Linked DNA regions of Macaca mulatta. The main gene of each other region encodes a partner of the protein of the gene in region 3 in a complex. Links are inferred from orthologs where the notes say so. Each region holds a gene or a part of one and is shown on either strand. Other genes may lie near its edges. The genes, in order: SF3B3, IK, SMU1 and ZMAT2.

Region 1 (5,628 bases), on a different chromosome or scaffold from region 3:
TTCATTGTAATGGTGTCTTTTCTTTTTTGGTAACTGATAATGGAATTTGATGGTGATCTTTGAGACTAGTGAATGTCCCTCATCCTGAGACTAGTAAATATCCTTCTTCCTGAGATTAGTGAATATCCCTCTTCCCCAGCGTCTTTTCACCCAGTGGTTTTGGTGTGGATCCTTTGAATCAGTTATTGCCATCTCTCCCCTCACCCCTGGATTATTTATTTGCTGTTAAATACTTATCTGTCCTGGAGTTGAACTTTAGGATTTAATTTAATACGTAGTATGTAAGATTCCATCAATATTAGAAAACCTTAGAAGAAATTTGGCAAGTTAAATTCTTCTTGTTAAGGGATGGGAAGTCACTAAGTTAATTAGACGTTGAGACCTAACTATGCCAGGCACCGTACTTGGCTTTGCAATAATAAAGTCTAAAATTCTTGCCGAACTTACTCGGTGAGAGAAATAGACTGTTGAAAACGTTAAAAAACGCAAGCCAGGCGCAGTGGTGTTCCTCTGATCCCCAGCTACTTGAGAGGCTGAGGCGGGAGGATCCCTTGAGCCCAGGAGTTAGAGACCAGTCTGGGCAACATAGTGAGACATTGTTTTGAAAGAAAAAAAATTCAAAATCATATCTAAGAAGGTGCCTTTTAGGAATCAGGCATTTGATGTAGAACATGGTAGTTTGGATGGAGCAGTGCTTCATTCACAGCCTGAAATGATGACTCTTTAAATTTCATGTCTCTTCTCAGACATTTTTCTCTGGAGATAATTTTTGCCTTATGGATCTGATCAGGCTGTAGTGAAATTGGGACTCTTTTGGTTACCCAGAGTTTATTAGATATTTGTAGCAGGAGAATTTTGAGCTGTGGAGTTCCAGTGTTCTGGCTGGCAGGACACTCTGGATCAAAGCTTGTGCCTTTAGGCCTTTAATGTCATGTGTAATCCCTATTGGTAAAGTGCTGAATTCTAGAACTAAGAAGTACCCATTTCTAAGACGTCGAATGTGTTTGTGTTTTTCACTTTGCTAGAATGACCTGGATGACCCTGAAAGAGGAATGATTTTTGTTTGCTCTGCAACCCATAAGACCAAATCGATGTTCTTCTTTTTGGCTCAAACTGAGCAGGGAGATATCTTTAAGATCACTTTGGAGACAGATGAAGATATGGTAAGTAGATCATGGAAGGACCAGTACAGCTACTCTATGAGATGAGATAGGCAAGACAGGTAATAGTTTACAAGTTAAAATAATGGGAATTAGAAAGTAGTTGCCTTTGGAACCGGTATATGAGTATAGATTTTTCTCTCTGGTTATTAGATTTTTTTGTCTGGTAATCTTACATACAATATAAGAGTGGTAATGCCACTTGTAGTGATTATTTTTAGGTGGTAATAATTGGTGTGAAGAAGATAAAGGTCTCTGTTTCTACTGAAAACTGGTAATAAACGTGATCTGTTACTAGTTTTATCTTATGGACGAGCTCTGTGAATAGTTGGGCAATTTCTTAGGTAGCTGTTTGGATCAGGAATTGGCAAACATGTTTTTGTAAAGGCCACATAGTAAATATTTGCAGCTTTTGTGAGCTACGTAGTCTCCGTCTCAACTACTCAACTCTGCCGTTACGTACGAAGATAGCCACAGCCAGTAATAATTGACATGAGTGGCCCGTGAGCTGGAGTTTGCTGTCCCCTGGTCAGATATGAAATACAGTATTTTATTTGCTACTCAGCCTGTGCTGTCTTATAATATGGGGCTCACTTCACTTGTTTGTACACCAGAATGTTTCTTTTCTCGCCAGGTTACTGAGATCCGGCTCAAGTATTTTGATACTGTACCAGTTGCTGCTGCTATGTGTGTGCTTAAAACAGGATTCCTTTTTGTAGCATCAGAATTTGGAAACCAGTGAGTAATCCTTCTGTTACCCTAGTTCACCCTGGTTGCGATAAAAGTTGGCAGCAGAGGCTGGGTGCAGTGACTCACGCCCGTAATCCTAGTTCTTTGGGAGGCCGAGGCGGGTGAATCACCTGAGGTCAGGAGTTCGAGACCAGCCTGGTCAACATGGTGAAACCCCATTTCCACCTAAAATACAAAAATTAGCTGGGTGTGGTGGCTGGCACCTGTAATCCCAGCTACTCGGGAGGCTGAGGCAGTAGAATCACTTGAATCCGGGAGGTGGAGGTTTCAGTGAGCTGAGATCACGCCACTGTACTCCAGCCTGGGTAACAAGAATGAAACTGTATCTCAAAAAAAAAAAAAAAAAAAGGGTTGATAGTAGGAAGGTGTGACTTTGAGGCTTGGAGCTTTTCACAAGAATGTGTTAGTTCTTTCAAAAGAAAAGTTTGTTTTCTCCCTTTAGAGTCTTTCTTTGTCTTACCTTCCTTTATTTTAGTGGCTTCAGTCAGTACCTCTGTGGGTATCTCCAGAACTATCTTTAGATTTGATGTCTCTTCTGAGTTTTTGGCTGAACATTTCATCAAATAATTTTTTTTTTTGAAATGGAGTTTCGCCCTTGTTGTGGCTGGAGTGCACCGGCGTGATCTTGGCTCACTGCAACCTCCGCCTCCCAGGTTCAAGCGCTTCTCCTGCCTCAGCCTCCTGAGTTGCTGGGATTACAGGCATGCACCACCACGCCCAGGTCATTTTATATTTTTGGTAGAGACAGGGTTTCTCCATGTTGCTCAGGCTGGTCTCAAACTCCCAACCTCAGGTGATCCGCCCGCCTCGACCTCCCAAAGTGGGTGGGTTATAGGTGTGAGCCACCGCGCCCGGCCATTTCATCAAATAAATACTTATTGAAATACTTAAGTACTGCTGGGCTTAGTGGCTCACGACTGTAATCCCAGCACTTTGGGAATCCAAGGTGGGCAGATCACCTGAGGTTGGAGTTCGAGACCAGCTGGACAACATGGTGAAACCCTGTCTCTACTAAAAATACAAAAATTAGCCGGGCATGGTGGCGGGCGCCTATAATGCCAGCTACTTGGGAGGCCGAGGCAGGAGAATCGCTTGAACTTGGGAGTTGGAGGTTGCAGTGAGCCGAGATCGCGTCATTGCACTCCAGCCTGGGCGTTGAGCAAGACTCCGTCTCAAAAAAGAAAAATTAAATAAAAAAATGAAATACTTACTATTAAAGAGATGTTCCATAAGCACTTGACAGGTACCTATCTAGGGTTGAAGCTTACCAGCGCTTAGCTGCCCACCCATATCAGCAGCCCTCCCATCCTCACTATTTCTGTTAGTGTCTAATAGACTAGTTATAGCAACTAAAATGTGAAATCTCAAATTTTTTTTATTGTCCACCGCTTTCAGTCATGTGCTAAGTTCTGTTTTTACCTGTGTACCCCTTTTCGTAATGCTAATCTGAACTAGTTCACTAGTTTTTTTATTTCATTGCCTTTCCTGTAAAACTCAGCCTTTTGTAGCATCATCTAATCCAGCAGACAAGACAACCTTGAATAAATAATTTCCCCTATCCCTGTATCATAATCATAAGTGGCTTTTCATTGCCAAATGGAAGAAATCTGAATTCTAGCCTCAAATTTAAGACCACTGTCTAAGACTACAAGTTACACAAGATAAGGTGACATGGTCTTGCCAGTATCTGCTAAAGTGTAGTCATACCACTTTACTAATCTAGTGCTCAGTTTCTTCATAATTAAAATACTGTCTAGGATTTTGTGCCATTTCTGCCTTGTTTCTAGCTATTCTCTCAATCTTAAATAAAATGCCTTTTACTCCTCAGTGACTTTTTTCTTTCATTTTTAAATCAAGATAGGGTGTCACTATGTCTTCCAGGCTGGTCTTGAACTCCTGGACCCAAGCGATCCTCTCCCCTTGGCCTCCCAAAGTGCTGGGATTGTAAACTTAAACCACCACACCTACCTTTCAGGTTTTTGGGCCTTTTTTTTTTTTTTTTTTGATCGACTCACTCTATCACTCAGGGTGGAGTGCAGTGATCTCAGCTCACTGCAACCTCCACCTCCTGGCTTCAAACGATTCTCCTCTCTCAGCCTCCTGAGTAGCTTGGACTCAGGTGTGTGCCACCATGCCCAGCTAATTTTTTTTTGTATTTTTAGGAGAGAACAGGGTTTTGCCATGTTGGCCAAGCTGGTCTCAAACTCCTGACCTCAAGCAATCCATCCACCTTGGCCTTCCGAAGTGCTGGGACTCCAGGCGTGTGCTACCGTGCCTAGCCGAGCCTTCTTAGCTTTTTGGGTTTTTTTGTTGTTATTGTTTGTTTGAGACAGAGTCTTACTCTGTTTTCTGGGATGCTGGAGTGCAGGGGCACAGTCTCGGCTTGCTGCATCCTCAACCTCCCAGGCTCAAGGTTAACCTTCCATCTCAGCCTCCCAAGTAGCTGGGACTATTAATTAGCAAGGCACATGCCTGGCTAATATTTGTATTTCTTGTAGAGTCTCAAACTTCTGGACTTAAGCAATCCACCTGCCTCAGTCTCCCAGTGTGCTGGGATTACAGACTTGAGCCACAGTGCCTGGCTGATATTTGTCCCTTTGTATCTAGCTCATTTTACTTGGCATAATATTTAGAAGATTCATGTTCAAAAAAAAAAAAAGAAGGAGATTCATGTTTTGGTAGCCTGTGTCAGAACTCATTCCTTTTTATGGCAGAATTACTCATTGTTTGTACATACTGTATTTTGTTTATCCATTCTACTGCTGATGTACACTTGGATTGTGTCCACCTTTCACAATTGGGAGTAATGCTGTGGTAGATGTTGCTGTGCTAATACCTATTTGAGTCCCCATTTTTAATTTTTTTGAGTGTATATGTAGGAGTGGAATTACTGGGTCATGGTAATTCCGTGTTTAACTTTTTGAGAAACCACCAAACTTTCTCAAAGCAGCTACATCCGTTTTACATTCCCAACAGCAGTATATGAGGGCTGCAGTTTCTCCACATCCTTGCTGACTTGTTTTCCACATTTGTGATTATAGCCATCCTGCTAGGTATGCAGTGGTGGTATGAAGTGGTAGCTTTGCCTTTCCCCCGGGATGAGTGATGTTGAGCATCTATTTTTTTTTTTTTGAGACGGAGTCTTGCTCTGTCTTCCAGGCTGGAGTGCAGTGGTGCGATCTCCACTCACTGCAAGCTCTGTCGCCTCCCGGGTTCACGCCATTCTCCTGCCTCAGCCTCCCGAGAAGCTGGGACTACAGGCGCTTGCCACCTTGCCCGGCTGATTTTTTTTGTATTTTTAGTAGAGAGGGGGTTTCACCATGTTCGCCAGGATGGTCTCGATCTCCTGACCTCGTCCTGCCTCGGCCTCCCAAAGTGCTGGAATTACAGGCGCAAGCCACCGTGCCCGGCTGATGTTGAGCATCTTTTTGTGTTTATTGGCCATTTGTGTATCTTTGTTGGAGAAATGTCTATTCAAATCCCGTTGCCCATTTTTTAAGAGTTGTCTTCTTGTATTTGAGTTCTCTATGTGTTCTGGGTACTAGACCCTTGTTAGAAATATGAATTGCAAATATTTTCTCTCATTTGGTGGGTTGTCATCTTACTTTCTTCCTTTGATGCATGAAAGTTTTAAATTTTGATAAAGTCCAGTTTATCTGTGTTTTCTTTGTTGCTTGTGCTGTAAATAAAACACTCACTGCACTTCCCAGATCTTCTC
Region 2 (5,031 bases), on a different chromosome or scaffold from region 3:
GGATGAGGCAGGAGAATGGCGTAAACCCAGGAGGCGAAGCTTGCAGTCAGTGAAGATCGTACCACTGCACTCCAGCCTGGGCGACAGAGCGAGACTCTGTCTCAAAAAAAAAAAAAATGTTTCTTAAGTGTGTTGTGGGGAGGAGGTTGTGAGAGCCTCAGTTCAAGGTCTGGGCAGAGTTCTCTTTTTCTCCTAGGACCTGGGTCTGCCAAGGAGTTGATCAAGTCCATCAATGAAAAGTTTGCTGGGTCTACTGGCTGGGAAGGCACAGAATCATATCCTTTATTTTAATGTGTTCCTGGGTTCTAGAGAACTGATCTGTTTACTCCAACCCCCTCTGCCTGCCGGCTCCCTCCTACCCCGCCCCACTCCTTCCCTTTTATGCTGAATTTTGACAGAATGAAACCATCCCTTGTTCCTTCCTAGAGCACCCGTAACAGCTCACAGCCCTCTCAGAATTTTCATGTTGGGGCTTCTAGCCCTTGGTCCCTCCTCGCTGAAGCTTTGCAGCAATAGGTGGAATCCTGTCTAGTGTTTTCTTTAACATAGCATATGCTGAAGAAACCAGAAGACAAAAAGCAGCTGGGAGATTTCTTTGGCATGTCCAACAGTTATGCAGAGTGCTACCCAGCCACGTATGTGAAACCTGGTTAAGGAAGGAGGCTGGATGATTGGGGAACAAGTTGGGGGTGAAATGGAAATTTGATTTGCTAAGTTCCAGGGCTACTTTTTTTTTTTTTCTTTTTTTTTGAGACAGAGTCTCACTCTGTTGCCCAGGCTGGAATGCAATGGCGTAATCTCGGCTCACTGCAACCACCACCTCCCGGGTTCAAGCAGTTCTCCTGCTGCATCCTCCCAAGTAGCTGGGATTATAGGCATGCATCACCACACCTGGCTAGTTTTTGTATTTTTAGTAGAGATGCAGTTTCACCATGTTGGCCAGGCTGGTCTTGAACTCCTGACCTCAAGTAATCTGCCTGCCTCAGCCTCTGAAAGTGTGGGGATTACAGGAGTGAGCCACTGCACCTGGCCCAAGGCTACTTCTTACTTGGATGAACTATTTTATTAGGCTTTGAGTGGGAGGTCAAGGGGGTGGTCATTCCTATGCAGATAGCCTCTTAGTCGGGTAGGTTTCCAGATGAAGCATAGGGTCAGGGTGTTTAACTGTTTAACTCCTGCTTCTCCTTAGGATGGATGACATGGCTGTGGACAGTGATGAGGAGGTGGATTATAGCAAAATGGACCAGGTATGTAGTTAGAAGGATGGTGGGCGCCTTTGGGTAGTTGTTGTTATTATTATTATTATTTTTTTTTTTTTTTTTTTTTTTTTTTGAGACGGAGTCTCGCTCTGTAGCCCAGGCTGGATTGCAGTGGCCGGATCTCAGCTCACTGCAAGCTCCGCCTCCTGGGTTCACGCCATTCTCCGGCCTCAGCCTCCCGAGTAGCTGGGACTACAGGCGCTGCCACCTCGCCCGGCTATTTTTTGTATTTCTTAGTAGAGACGGGGTTTCACCGTGTTAGCCAGGATGGTCTCGATCTCCTGACCTCGTGATCTGCCCATCTCGGCCTCCCAAAGTGCTGGGATTACAGGCTTGAGCCACCGCGCCCGGCCTGGGTAGTTATTATTATTATATTTTTTTACATATATCTCCTTCCCCACTCCTAAAAAATCTGTCTCATTTACTGGGCTCCACCCTCCTCCAGTTGCAGCAGTAGAAACAGCAGCATTGAGGGTCATGAGCAGCTTAACTATTTCAGAGTCTTTGCACAAGATCAAATGACATAGGGTCAAAAATCTATTTTTTATTTCCTATAGCAAAGTGCCACGCTTTGATTCCCATGGTAGGCAGTAAGCAAGCATCAATGCATAAGTAGAAAGGGCAGAAAAAAATTGCAGTCTTTGGAAAATAACTAAATTTTATTCTAGCCGGGATTGAAGTTTTCCTCTAAGTCTTAAGCAAAATTAAAAAGAAAAAACCACTAATGCCACTAATAGTGAAGAAATCTCTATTCGTCCCCTGAGTTCTTTGTATTGAAATAGCATAGTTTAATCTTGGAGCCTTGTTTAATCCTGCCTCTACCATTTATTAGTTTTGTGAACTTGCCAAGTTCTTTTACTGTTTATGCCTCAATTTCCTCATCAGGAAATGGAGAGAAGTGTAGTTCCCTCTTCATAGATTTTTTAATGAGAATTAAATGAGATAATGCATTTAGTGTACAGAATAATGCCTGTCACATAGTATGTAATAGGCATTTATTATTACATATCAGGGTATGATTTATGAATTGTGGAACCTGGGATTATGGGAGAGTCTGGCTTCAATCAAGGGCTGAAATTCCATTTTCCCTGACATCTCTTCCTTCCCCGTCCCCCCATTCTGTCCTGCAACAGGGTAACAAGAAGGGGCCCTTAGGCCGTTGGGACTTTGATACCCAGGAAGAATACAGCGAGTATATGAACAACAAAGAGGCTTTGCCCAAGTGAGTCGGTACTGAATATGGGCAAGGTGTGAGGAGGGTTGTGGGGATTTGGTGGAATAGTGCACATAAGGTTAGAGGGTATGGTCTGGCTGAGATATTCCCAATTAAGTTCTTTGCCCACAGGACCCTGGGAAAACCTCACCACTGCTATGCAGTCTCTGAAGCATTCTTTGCCAACTGTGCTTTTTTTCAGGGCTGCATTCCAGTATGGTATCAAAATGTCTGAAGGGCGGAAAACCAGGCGCTTCAAGGAAACCAATGACAAAGCAGAGCTTGATCGCCAGTGGAAGAAGATTAGTGCAGTAAGTAGGATGGTCCCTTGGGTGGGAGGGTTTCAGCTGGGAGAAGACATTAGCCTACAGATTCAGGAACAGGCAAGGGGCTGGAGAGCCATGGAAATGAGAGGTCAGCCTTGGGCCTCAGGTGAGCTTAGATGGGCAGCTTGGTGATAGACTATCCTGTTCCTTTTGCAGATCATTGAGAAGAGGAAGAAGATGGAAGCTGATGGGTGAGTGGCATTATTCTTCCTCTGGGGGACTGGTGGGAATTGCTTAGTGTATTGATCTTATGCTGACCCATTTCTCCTTCCATTGCAGGGTTGAAGTCAAAAGACCAAAATACTAATCACCAGTTACAACCGGAGACCCTCCACAAGGATATGCTTCCCACTGTTTTCTTTATACAATTTCCAAAGGTTGCAAGATGTTTTTTGGTGGATGAATATAAAATTTTATTGTGTAATTACTTGGTTCCATTAAAATTGGTTAACTTGCTAGCTTCTCTGTTGAGCATGCCCCCTCCAGTGCCCTTGAAGCACCAAGAACACTAATTCCACTGGTTACATAGAATCACATGCAGAAAGCCATCAGTCCTTTCCTGAGCTGTGGTTCTAGATTGCTAGACATGAAGGATGCTTTCTAGCCAGTGTGCCCAGTAGAGAAGGGAATAATGATCCTCACTGATGGGCAAGAGGTGGATAGAGGAATGTAAGGATGATTGGTTTCAAATGTAAGACTCATTCAGGCCCATCTTCAGGCCTAGTCCCTGGACAAAGATTTCCTGGATCCTGCAGTCAGCCTAATGGGCTGCTAATCTGATCCCCAGGCTGTGAAGGACTGGGCTCTGGATGAAGGCATCTAATGAAAATCACTTACGGGTGAGAACCAAAACCTTTTATGAGTTTATGTCTTCCTATGAGCTTTATTAATGTTGAGTACAAATCACTGCCTCCTTGGCTAAAGGTGTAACCTTAGGGAAGTGCTTCGGGTTTAGAGCTGATATAGTGTGGCCCTGCAGGTACAGGAATTCCTATCCTAGGCCAGAAGGGTTTGGTGCCCTTCATCACCCTGAAACATTTGCCAAGCCCCAGAATAGTCTGTTGGCCTTTGAATCACACCATTCCTTTCCCTGTTCTTCCTTTCTGCTCCTTACCAGCACTTTGGTCTGGTGCGCATCATTAGGTGTCACTACTGCTTCCTGGCTGGATGCCAGGCTGCCACTGTCTACCCTGAGCCCAAGATTTGTGGCCTCACCACATCCAAGAAAGCTAGAAAGTCACCTTAGCCATTGCCTTGTCTTTGACTGTATTCACCTTGGTAGGACAGGTATTTTTGAGGAAGCCAGCATTGTGCATTGCACATAAGAGGCTGAAATTGGGCCTTGCTGCACTAGCACCTAGAATGGCTAATTTCAGACAAATGACACCATGGTTCCATGGATGTAGGCAGCAGTCCCAATTATTAAAAATGGTCACAGAGACATGGCACAGAAGACGACATCTGGAGAGTCACTAAAAGCAAGACCTGGGGGTTGACTGTTGGTTTAAAATTCAGTTTCTGAGGCCAGGCTCGATGACTCATGTCCACAGTCTCAGTGCTTTGGGAGGCCAAAGCAGGAGAGTCGCTTGAGGCCAGGAGTTCGTGAGCCTATAGCTATGCAGGAGGATCGAACCGAAGAGTTCAAGGCTGTGGTGAGCTATGATCACACCACTGCATTCCCAGCCTGGGTGACAGCAAAACCTTGATTTAAAAAAAGAAGAGGCTGGGCGCAGTGGCTCACGCCTATAATCCTAGCACTTTGGGAGGCTGAGGCGGGAAGACAGGTCAAGACTTCAAGGCCAGGCTGGGCAACACAGTGAGAGTTAAGTTTCTATAAAACATACAAAAATTGGCCAGGCGCGGTGGCTCACACCTGTAGTCCCAGCACTTTGGGAGGCCGAGGCGGGCGAATCACAAGGTTAGGAGTTTGAGACCACCCTGGCCAACATGGTGAAACCCTATCTCTACTAAAGATACAAAAAATTAGCTGGGCGTGGTGGCATGCACCTGTAGTCCCATCTACTCGGTAGGCTGAGGCAGGAAAATCGCTTGAACCTGGGAGAAGGAGGTTGCACTGAGCCGAGATCGAGTCATTTGCACTCCAGCCAGGGCGAGACTCTGTCTCAAAAAAAAAAAAAAAAAAAAAAAAAAAAAGCGTGGTACCACATGCCTGTAGTTTCAGCTACTCCAGAGGATCGCTTGAGCCCAGAGGTGATCGTGCCACTGCACTCCA
Region 3 (5,217 bases):
TATTTTTTATTTACTTTTTTTGAGACAGAGTCTCACCCTCTCCCCCAGGCTGGAGTGCAGTGGTGCAATCTCAGCTCACTGCATCCTCTGGCCCCCAGGTTCAAGTGATTCTCCTGCCTCAGCCTCCTGAGTAGCTGGGATTACAGGCATCTGCCACTGCGCCCTGCTAATTTTTGTATTTTTAGTAGAGACGGGGTTTCACCATCTTGGCCAGGCTTGTCTTGAACTCCTGACCTCGTGATCCACCCACCTTGGCTCCCCAAAGTGCTGAGATTACAGGCGTAAGTCACCATGCCCGGCTTTTTTTTTTTTAAATGCTGAATAACATTTATTTATCCAGTCATCTACTGAAGGACTTCCAAGTTTTGGCAATTATGAGTAAAGCTGCTATAAACATCCATGTGCAGATTTTTGTGTTAATATGTTTTCTCTTTCTTTGGGTAAATGCTAAGTAGTGTGATTACTGGATTGTATGGTAAAGTATGTTTAGTTGTAAGAAACTATTAAACTGTTCCAAAATGGATGTATCATTTTGTATCGTCACCCTTGGTGAATGAGAGTTCCTGTTACTGCACATCCTCACCAGCACTGGGTGTGGTCAGTGTTCTGGATGTTGGCCATTCTAATAGGTGTGTAGTGGTATCTCATTTTAATTTGCATTTCCCTAATGAAATGTGGAAATCTTTTCGTGTGCTCATTTGTCATCTGTATACTTCTGGCGAAGTGTCTGTTTCAGGTATTTGACTCATTTTTCAATTGGGTTGTTTTCTTGCTGTTGAATTTTAAGAGTTCTTTATATGTTTTGGATAATAGTTCTTTATCAAATCTAGTTTTTACAGATATTTTCTCCCCATCCGTGGCTTGTCTTTTCATTTTCTTCCTTTTTTTTTTTTTTTTTTTTGAGGCAGAGTCTTGCTCCATTGCCCAGGCTGGAATGCAGTGGCATGGTCATAGCTCACTGCATCCTTGAGCTCCTGGGCTCAAGAAATCTTCCTGCCTAAGCCTTCTAAGTGGCTGGGAGTACAGGCATGTGCCACAATGCCCGACTTTGTGTGTGTGTGTGTGTGTGGAAATGGGGTCTTGCCATGTTGCTGATGCTGGTCTCAAACTCCTGGCCTCAAGTGATCCTCCCGCCTTAGCCTCCCAAAGTGCTGGGATTACAGGCATGAGCCACTGCATCTGGCTTCATTTTCTTGACAGTGGCTTTTACAGAGCAGAAGTGTTTAATTTTAATGAAATCTAGCTTATCAGTTATTTCATGGATCGTGTCTTTGGAATTGTATCTAAAAAGTCATCAAACTCAAGATCGTCTAGATTTTCTTTTTTGTTTTCCTCTAAGAGTTTTATATACAATTTTGAGTTTTACATTTAGGTCTGTGATCCATTTTGAGTTAATTTTTGTGAAGACTGTAAGGTCTTTATTTTATTGTGTCTAGATTCATTTTCTTGCATATAAATGTCCAGTCATGGCATGTCTTGTTGAAAACACTATCTTTTCTTTATTACATTGCTTTTGCTTCTTTGTCAAAAATCAGTTGAGTGTATTTCTGGGCTTTGTATTCTGTTCCATTGATCTGTTCTTTTACCAATACCACACTGTCTGGATTACTATAGCTTTGTGTAAATCTTGAAGTTGGTTATTGTGAGCCCTCCAACTTTGTCCTTCTCTTTCAATATTGAGTTCACTGTTCTGGGTCTTTTGCCTCTTTGTGTAAGCTTTAGAATTGGGTTGTCAATATCCACAAAATACTTTGCTGGGATTTTGATTGGGATTGTGTGAAATCTATAGATTAAGTTGGGAAGAACTGATGTCTTTACCATATTGAGTCTTCCAATTCATGAACATAGACTATCTCTCTGTTTAGTTCTTTGATATCATTCATCAGAATTTTGTAATTTTCCTCATTTAAATATTGTATGTATTTTGGTAGATTTATACCTAAGTATTTTCACTTTGGGGCTGCTAATGTAAATGGTATCATGTTTTAAATTCAAGTTAATTCCAATCCCTAACCCTTGGCAATCACTGATCTGTTTTCCATTATTATAATTTTGTCATTTTGAAAATGGTATAGAAATGGAAGCATATAGTATGTAGACTTTTCGGATTGGTTTCTCTCAGCTTGGTTTATGATGATTTTAATGTTGTATCAATAGAGCAAGCAAAGTCTTAGAGACAAAGTATCATCCTGCATGGGGAAAGCTTCTCATTCTGTTAGAGGAAACTGGGGAGCAGACATCCAGAAAGCTTTGAGAACTACTGGTATATTGATTTAGAAAATTGTTTTATGTATGGCAATGAAATTTGCTTAAGGGTAATATGTCTCTTTAGGGCATGATTGGTGATGTGGGATGTATGAATTCTAAATTTTTGTCTGCCATTTAGTTTAGATTACTTATCTATTGAATATTTCCCAGGCATGGGGAGTTAGCACATGCTGAACAGGATTGGAGATCTAATTACAAATGATAGTAAACCAAAGTGCAAAATAACAACGTAAAAATGTCACTTGAAAAGGCTGCACATGGTTGAGCTGCTACTAATCCTGATGTTTTTGTCTTGGGGTGTGGTGTGATCTAGATTGTCAGAAGCTTCAGTTCTGGTAAAAGAGAAGGTGGGGACTTTGTTTGCTGTGCCCTCTCTCCCCGTGGTGAATGGATCTACTGTGTAGGGGAGGACTTTGTGCTCTACTGTTTCAGTACGGTCACTGGCAAACTGGAGAGAACTTTGACAGTGAGTATTACTTACTAAGTTCATCTAAAGAAATATGGTAAGACTTGTGTCTTTCTGAACTCTGAAGTATGTGCCTTTTCCAGACTACTATCAATGTGACCCTCAGTATAAAAAACATTGTTTTAAAACATTTAGCTCCATGTTAAATTCAAGAAGTAAAATTAATGTCAGCTGCTATGATGATCCCCAAATCTCAGTGGCTTAACACTAAACAAGTTTATTTTTTATTTTATTTTATTTTATTTTATTTTGAGAAGGAGTCTCACTCTGTCACCTGGGCTAGAATGCAGTGGTGTGATCTCAGCTCACTACAACCTCTGCCTCCTGGAGTCAAGTGATTCTCCTGCCTCAGCCTCCCGAGTAACTGGGACTACAGGCACATGCCACCACTTCTGGCTAATTTTTTGTATCTTTAGTGGAAACGGGGTTTCACCATCTTGGCCAGGCTGGTCTTGAACTCCTGATCTCAAGTGATCCACCTGCCTCCGCCTCCCAAAGTACGGGGATTACAGACATGAGCCACTGCACCCAGCCTAAAGTTTATTTCTTATTATGTCACAATGTGATGTGAGTTGGAAAACCTTCCTCCATCTTTCTCCTATGCCATTTGGAATATCAGGCCTTGATCTCTTTCCCTTCCACCCAGCTCTGGAAGCGTCATCAGAGTGATTTATTGCAGATCTGTACACCCTAACCCTGTGCTTTACGTGTTCCAGGTGCACGAGAAGGATGTGATTGGTATTGCACATCACCCTCATCAGAACCTGATTGCTACCTACAGTGAAGATGGACTCCTAAAGCTCTGGAAACCATAATTCAACTTTCCTTTTTAAATCAGTGAAAGCACATACTTAAATGAAGGCATAGTCATGTAATGTGCTTTTTTTTTCTTTCTTTTTTTTTTGGCCCACTTTTCTAAGCAAATAGATTGTCTGAATTAGTCACAAGAATAATTTTGTGAAAATTCATGTTTAAGTAGCAAGTATCCCTTCCTTTTTTTAATATATTTTTAAGGTACTAGTTTATCTTCTAACTGGTGCAGTCACTTAATGTTTTCATTAATCTTATACCTGGAAAGTGAAATACCGATTTTCTAGAAAAAAATTCTACTCCTTTGATTATTTGAAATGCTGATTAAAATGTCCCTCCTATAGTAAAACTTGTAAATAAGGAACTATATCATATTCAGTAGCTGTATTCTGTTCCATCTTTTTTTTTTTTTTTTTTTTTTTTTTGAGATGGAGTTTTGCTTGTTGCCCAGGCTGGAGTGCAGCGGCACGATATTGGTTCACTGCAACCTCCGCCTCCCAGGTTCAAGCGATTCTCCTGCCTCAGCCTCCTGAGTAGCTGGGACTATAGGTGTGTGATACCATGCCTGGCTAATTTTTTTGTATTTTTAGTGAGATGGGATTTCACCGTGTTGGCCAGGCTGGTCTCACACTCCTGACCTCAAGTGATCCAACCGCCTTGGCCTCCCAAAGTGCTGAGATCACAGGCATGAGCCACCATGCCCAGCCCATCTTTTTTTTTTTGAAGATGTTAATAAACTTTATACCTTTCTGGAGACTTTGTTCTAAAATGTAAATAAATGCTCATCTAGTTAACATATTTACTTAGAATTTGGGAGGAGGAGTGACATTATTATCCCCGAATCTCAAGTATAGCAGAAGTGAATTCCTGGGATAGTAGGATAGACTAACATGTAAAAAGGCCAGGTGATGCATAGGTTCTCATTTCACTGCCCTCAGCTTTCCTCTCCTTCTGAGCTGTGCCTTCTCACATGTTCAATCAACTCCAGGGAATATTGTCTCCATCTTCTGAATAGAACTAGTTGCAGGATCCGTTACAAGAATTCAGAGTTTTGTCATCTCCCCTTTGTACGTTGTAGGGGATGGTTTGGCATTGGAAATGTGCTGTTGTTTCAAAGAAAAATTAGCAAAAGTACTTGAGATTTAGAAAAGTCTCCTTTGTAATGTGCATCATTACCAGTTAGCTAAAGAAAAACATGTAAAAGTCAACAAAACCCTTGAAAATATTTTGCATATGGATGTCTGTTTCATGTTTCAACTAAAGATGTATAGAGCACCTCTGATGATGAGGAAGATACTGTGCTAGGCACTACTTTCAAGAATGTGAGTTCTTGTTTCCACAGGCCTTTTGTGCCCCCTTTTAAATGTTAGCATTTATTAGGTACAAACTAATGGGGAAGGTTTTTTTAAAGTTTTGCAGTCTTGTAATTTACTTTTTTTAAAAATTTATTTTATTTTTTTGAGATGGAGTCTTGCTCTGTTGCCCAGGTTGGAGTGCAATGGTGCCCTCTCAGCTCACTGCAACCTCCACTTCCCAGGTTCAAGCGATTCTTGATACTTCCCGAGTAGCTGGGAATACAGGCACATGCCACCATGCCTGGCTAATTTTTATATTTTTAGTTTGGGGGGGGGCGGGGAGTTTCACCATGTTGGTCAGGCTGGTCTTGAACTCCT
Region 4 (4,394 bases), on a different chromosome or scaffold from region 3:
TTTGTTGCCTTTGTTTAGGATTCTCATGATCTGAAGGAAATGGCTCTGAAACGACTTTTTTGTCCTGGACTCTGTGGGCCTTATTATTTATTTATTTTGGCGATACAGATATTTCTCAACTTCTGACAGGGTTACCTACCGATAAACCCATCATCAAGTTAAAAATATCTTAAGTCAAAAATGTGTAATACACCTAACCTACCATAGTTTAGTCTAGCCTACCTTAATGTGCTCAGAACACATTAGCCTACAATTGACCCAGATTATCTAACACAAAACCTATTCTATAATAAAGTATTCATCTCATTAATTTATTGAATACTGTACTGAATGTGAAAAACAATGGTTATATGGATACTTGAAGTACAGTTTCAAATGCATGTCAGTTTTGCACCATTGTAAAACTGAAAAATCTTGTCAGAGCATCGTAAGTTGAGGACTCTCATCTGTATTCTTTGATTTAATTTTTTAAAAAGACTTAACTTTTTTTTTGGCCGGGTGCGGTGGCTCAAGCCTGTAATCCCAGCACTTTGGGAGGCCGAGACGGGTGGATCACGAGGTCAGGAGATCGAGACCATCCTGGCTAACACGGTGAAACCCCGTCTCTACTAAGAAATACAAAAAAAAAAAACTAGCCGGGCGAGGTGGCGGACGCCTGTGGTCCCAGCTACTTGGGAGGCTGAGGCCGGAGAATGGCGTGAACCCGGGAGGTGGAGCTTGCAGTGAGCTGAGATCTGGCCACTGCACTCTAGCCTGGGCTACAGAGCGAGACTCCGTCTCAAAAAAAAAAAAAAAAAAAAAAAAAAAGACTTAACTTTTTTTAGAGCAGTTTGGGTTTGCAACAAAATCGAGAGGGAGGTATAAAGATTTCCCATATACCCATTGTCCCCCACAACATGCATAGCTTCCTCCATACTTTTTTTTTTTAACTACAAGAGGAATTAACTAAATGTACCTAGTCCTAAGGAGGCCCATGAAATCAGGCTGACTGGGTCAGAATTCTGTTTCTTCCACTTACTGGCTGTGAATCTTGGGCAAGTTATATAACCTCTTTGTGCCTCAGTATCCCCATATTAGAGATCTTAGTATAATATGCATGAAGTACTCAGAGCAATTTCTGGCATGTACTGCATGCCCCAGAATGTCAGTTGCTATTATATGGTTTTGCTGTCATAACCCTGTCAGGAACTAGAAATGACATGGGGCCAGACGCAGTGGCTCACGCGTGTAATCCCAACACTTTGGGAGGCCAAGGTGGATGGATCACTTGAGACCAGGAGTTCAAGACCAGCCCCAGCAACATGGTGGGACCCTGTCTCTACAAATACAAAAATTAGCTGGGTGCAGTGGCACACGCCTATAGTCCCAGCTACTTGGGAGGCTGAGGTGGGAGGATTGCTTGAACCCAGGAGGTGGAGGTTGCGATGAGCCGAGATTGTGCCACTGCACTCCAGCCTAGGCGACAGAACAAGACTCTCTCAAAAAAAAAAAAAAAAAATGAACTAGAGTGCAGGCTTGAGAACTTCTCTCTAGAGGCTAAAACTTCTTTTTGTTATCCTTTATAATTTTTACTCTGGCTTTTACTCTGTCCTTGAGATTTTACTTGTCTTAAGTACTTTCTCCTAAAGATAGAAAGGAGTCTTGAAACTCATGTCTTTTTCAGTAACATTTGGCTGAGGAGTCTAAACTGATTCTGAGTGATTTTTCCCTCCAGGAAGAAAAGGCCAAAGCATACAAGAAAGAGAAACAGAAGGAGAAGAAAAGGAGGGCTGAGGAGGACTTGACATTTGAGGAGGACGATGAGATGGCAGCTGTGATGGGCTTCTCTGGCTTTGGTTCCACCAAGAAGAGTTACTGAGGCTTTCTATGCTTGGCCTAACTTGGGCCTATGCTGGACCTAACTTTGTGTGTGTGTGTGTGTAGTCGGGGGTCATTTCTTTTTGGGTGATGGGAAAGTTCTTAAGAGTGTCAATGGGGAGGGATAGAGGGTGGGGCTCATGGTTTCCCTCTACTTTGGGAGAGGGCACAGATTGCAGAGGTAATGCTGTGGCATATTGCTTCAGCCTCAGTATATCGCTGGAGTCATAGGACCCCTGCCCACCTGAGTTTCCAATAAAGAAAAACCTCCCCTTCTGAGGCTGCTTTCCCAAAACTCCCCCTGCATCTTTATCTCTCCATCTATCCAGCCTCTTGTCTGAGCATCCCAACTTTATCCTGTGTTATGCCTTTGTTTTAATTTTATCTCATGTTCAGCCTGCAACAGAAGCATTCTCTAGGTCCCAGTTTCCAGTTGATTGCATATCCTTGACCAGCCCTTTTTCCCATCCCGCCCTATGGTTCTCTAGCTACCTGTGCATGCATGTGTATTTCTGCCTGGTTCTATGGTGTGTGGATGTGTGTGCATGAATCTGTCACATAGAGGGGGCCTGAGCTGGAATCCTAGAGCATTGCTGCCCTGGGGCCTGATGTTCTTGGCTTCCTCAGAGCATGTAACAGGAAATTAAATGGGATGAGTGTTTGGTGTGGTTTGTGTCTGATGAGTTTTTTAACATTCAGGTGTAGATTGTTTCAGGTTCTCTTGTTTCATTTTCCTGAGGATTTCTGTTTTTGTCTTCCTTGTGAGCAGGCTTTTGGAAGAACCTGTTTGATGCAAAGAAGAAAATGAAAAACAAAACAAAACAAAAAATCCCCAAAACCTTATTATGGGAGCCCTTGGGTCTTAGAAGCTGTTCAACATGTATAATAAATGGCATTGACTGGGCCTGTTTTACATTTGGTGGGAACATTCCATAATTTTGCCTGTGAATATTTGTTTTTCCTTCTCATGCTGAGGATTTCCATAGAGTGTTTTATTCTTCCATTTTAAATCTTATTTTTGCCTAGGATTTTTTTTTTTTTTTTTTTAGCATGAGTTATGTTTTCCTCTGGTAAGGGATCTGTGTCCAGAGGAGCCTGAACCAAAACTATTCCTATCATTTCAGACTCCTTTGATCTTTTGTTTTTGGAACAGTAGAGCTCAGGATTGAACTTAGTGTTTTTCTTTTTCTTTTTCTTTTTTTTTTTTTTTTTTTGAGAGAGTCTTGCTCTATCGCCCAGTCTGGAGTGCAGTGGCGCGGTCTTGGCTCACTGCAACCTCCGCCTCTTGGCTTCAAGCGGCTAATTTTGTATTTTTAGTTGAGATGGGGTTTCACCATGTTGGCTAGGCTGGTCTAGAACTCCTTGCTCAGGTGATCCACCTGCCTCAGCCTCCCAAAGTGCTGGGATTATAGGCGTGAGCCATTGCACCCTGCCCTTAGTGTGTTTCTTACTGTCTGCTAGACACAGGATTACTTAATCTTGGCACTGTTGATATTTTGGGCCAGATTATCATTTGTTGTAGAAACCAATGCTGTGCAGTGTAGGGTGTTTATGATTTTGATTTTGATTTAGGATTAACTTCATCCCTGGCCTTTACCTGCTAGATGCCAGTAGCACCCTCTTCCACAATTGTGACAACTAAAAATGTCTATGCCCCTGAGAAAGGCAAAATCCCTCCCTACCCACATTGAAATCCACTGAGAAGCAGCTAGCTGTTTTCCCTACCTTGGTCTAATTTGAGAATTAGATGGCACAGACTGGTAAACTCAGTACAGAAACTCACAAAACTTTGATATCCACTGGATCAAGTACTGTACCAAGTCCAGGGGATGCAGAGGAAAAAAAATAGTCATACATACACGGAGAATTATTAACTTTAACACATTAACTTCAAGCAGATGAAACCTGTAACTCTTGCTGGTTCTATACCCTGAAAAAATGGATCCGTTGGGTTAACAAGGCTGCCACCATATAGCTGGTATTCATTCTCTGCCCCATCAAGCTCTTCACCTTTCTGTAGTATCTGAACCACAAAGCATCATACACCTCCCTTTGGACTTTTGTACAAAATTCCCTTACTGTAAACATGTGATGCTGAATCTTACCACTGGGAACACCATGAATGTATCTTCACCTGTGGGCTCAAGGCCTGGCTCAAAGTTTTAGATACAGTAAGTATTGGGCAATGGGGGCAGATTGGTGGGTGCTTTTCTTGGCAGGATTATGTGCACTTCAGGTCCCTTGGGTGACAGTCTTGTTGTTGACGAGGTCTTTTGTTACCCCTTTCAAGGCAGGCTGGAGGTTTCAGTGAGTTCCTTCCATGGTTCAGTTTTTTTTTTTTTTTTTTTTTGAGTGTCACTGTCACTCAGGCTAGAGTGCAGTGGCATGATCTCAGCTCGCTGTAACCTCCACCTCCTGGGTTCAAGTGATTCTCCTGACTCAGCATCCTGAATAGCTGGGATTACAGGTGCCCGCCAGTATCCTCGGCTAATTTTTTTGTATTTTTAGTAGAGACGGGTTTTCACCATGTTAGCCAG

The links.
Region 1: SMU1 (region 3) and SF3B3 share a complex: the UniProt entries of both Homo sapiens proteins name them as parts of the spliceosome B complex. The link is inferred for Macaca mulatta from reciprocal best matches to the Homo sapiens genes SMU1 and SF3B3.
Region 2: SMU1 (region 3) and IK share a complex: the UniProt entries of both Homo sapiens proteins name them as parts of the spliceosome B complex. The link is inferred for Macaca mulatta from reciprocal best matches to the Homo sapiens genes SMU1 and IK.
Region 4: SMU1 (region 3) and ZMAT2 share a complex: the UniProt entries of both Homo sapiens proteins name them as parts of the spliceosome B complex. The link is inferred for Macaca mulatta from reciprocal best matches to the Homo sapiens genes SMU1 and ZMAT2.

Annotation. Positions count from the first base shown.
Region 1 is NC_133425.1:69,310,126-69,315,753, reverse strand, and holds part of SF3B3 (splicing factor 3B subunit 3), read left to right. Parts: intron 1-703; exon of another isoform or gene 704-794; intron 795-1,025; coding exon 1,026-1,163; intron 1,164-1,794; coding exon 1,795-1,898; intron 1,899-5,628. UniProt on the Homo sapiens protein: Component of the 17S U2 SnRNP complex of the spliceosome, a large ribonucleoprotein complex that removes introns from transcribed pre-mRNAs.
Region 2 is NC_133411.1:149,502,526-149,507,556, forward strand, and holds the end of IK (protein Red), read left to right. Parts: intron 1-177; exon of another isoform or gene 178-196; coding exon 197-275; intron 276-549; exon of another isoform or gene 550-554; coding exon 555-635; intron 636-1,189; coding exon 1,190-1,247; intron 1,248-2,392; coding exon 2,393-2,481; intron 2,482-2,674; coding exon 2,675-2,783; intron 2,784-2,954; coding exon 2,955-2,989; intron 2,990-3,077; coding exon 3,078-3,105; 3' UTR 3,106-3,256; downstream 3,257-5,031. UniProt on the Homo sapiens protein: Involved in pre-mRNA splicing as a component of the spliceosome. Auxiliary spliceosomal protein that regulates selection of alternative splice sites in a small set of target pre-mRNA species. Required for normal mitotic cell cycle progression.
Region 3 is NC_133420.1:66,323,290-66,328,506, forward strand, and holds the end of SMU1 (WD40 repeat-containing protein SMU1), read left to right. Parts: intron 1-1,158; exon of another isoform or gene 1,159-1,952; intron 1,953-2,581; coding exon 2,582-2,734; intron 2,735-3,450; coding exon 3,451-3,549; 3' UTR 3,550-3,936; downstream 3,937-5,217. UniProt on the Homo sapiens protein: Involved in pre-mRNA splicing as a component of the spliceosome. Regulates alternative splicing of the HSPG2 pre-mRNA. Required for normal accumulation of IK.
Region 4 is NC_133411.1:149,548,371-149,552,764, forward strand, and holds the end of ZMAT2 (zinc finger matrin-type protein 2), read left to right. Parts: intron 1-1,714; coding exon 1,715-1,858; 3' UTR 1,859-2,761; downstream 2,762-4,394. UniProt on the Homo sapiens protein: Involved in pre-mRNA splicing as a component of the spliceosome.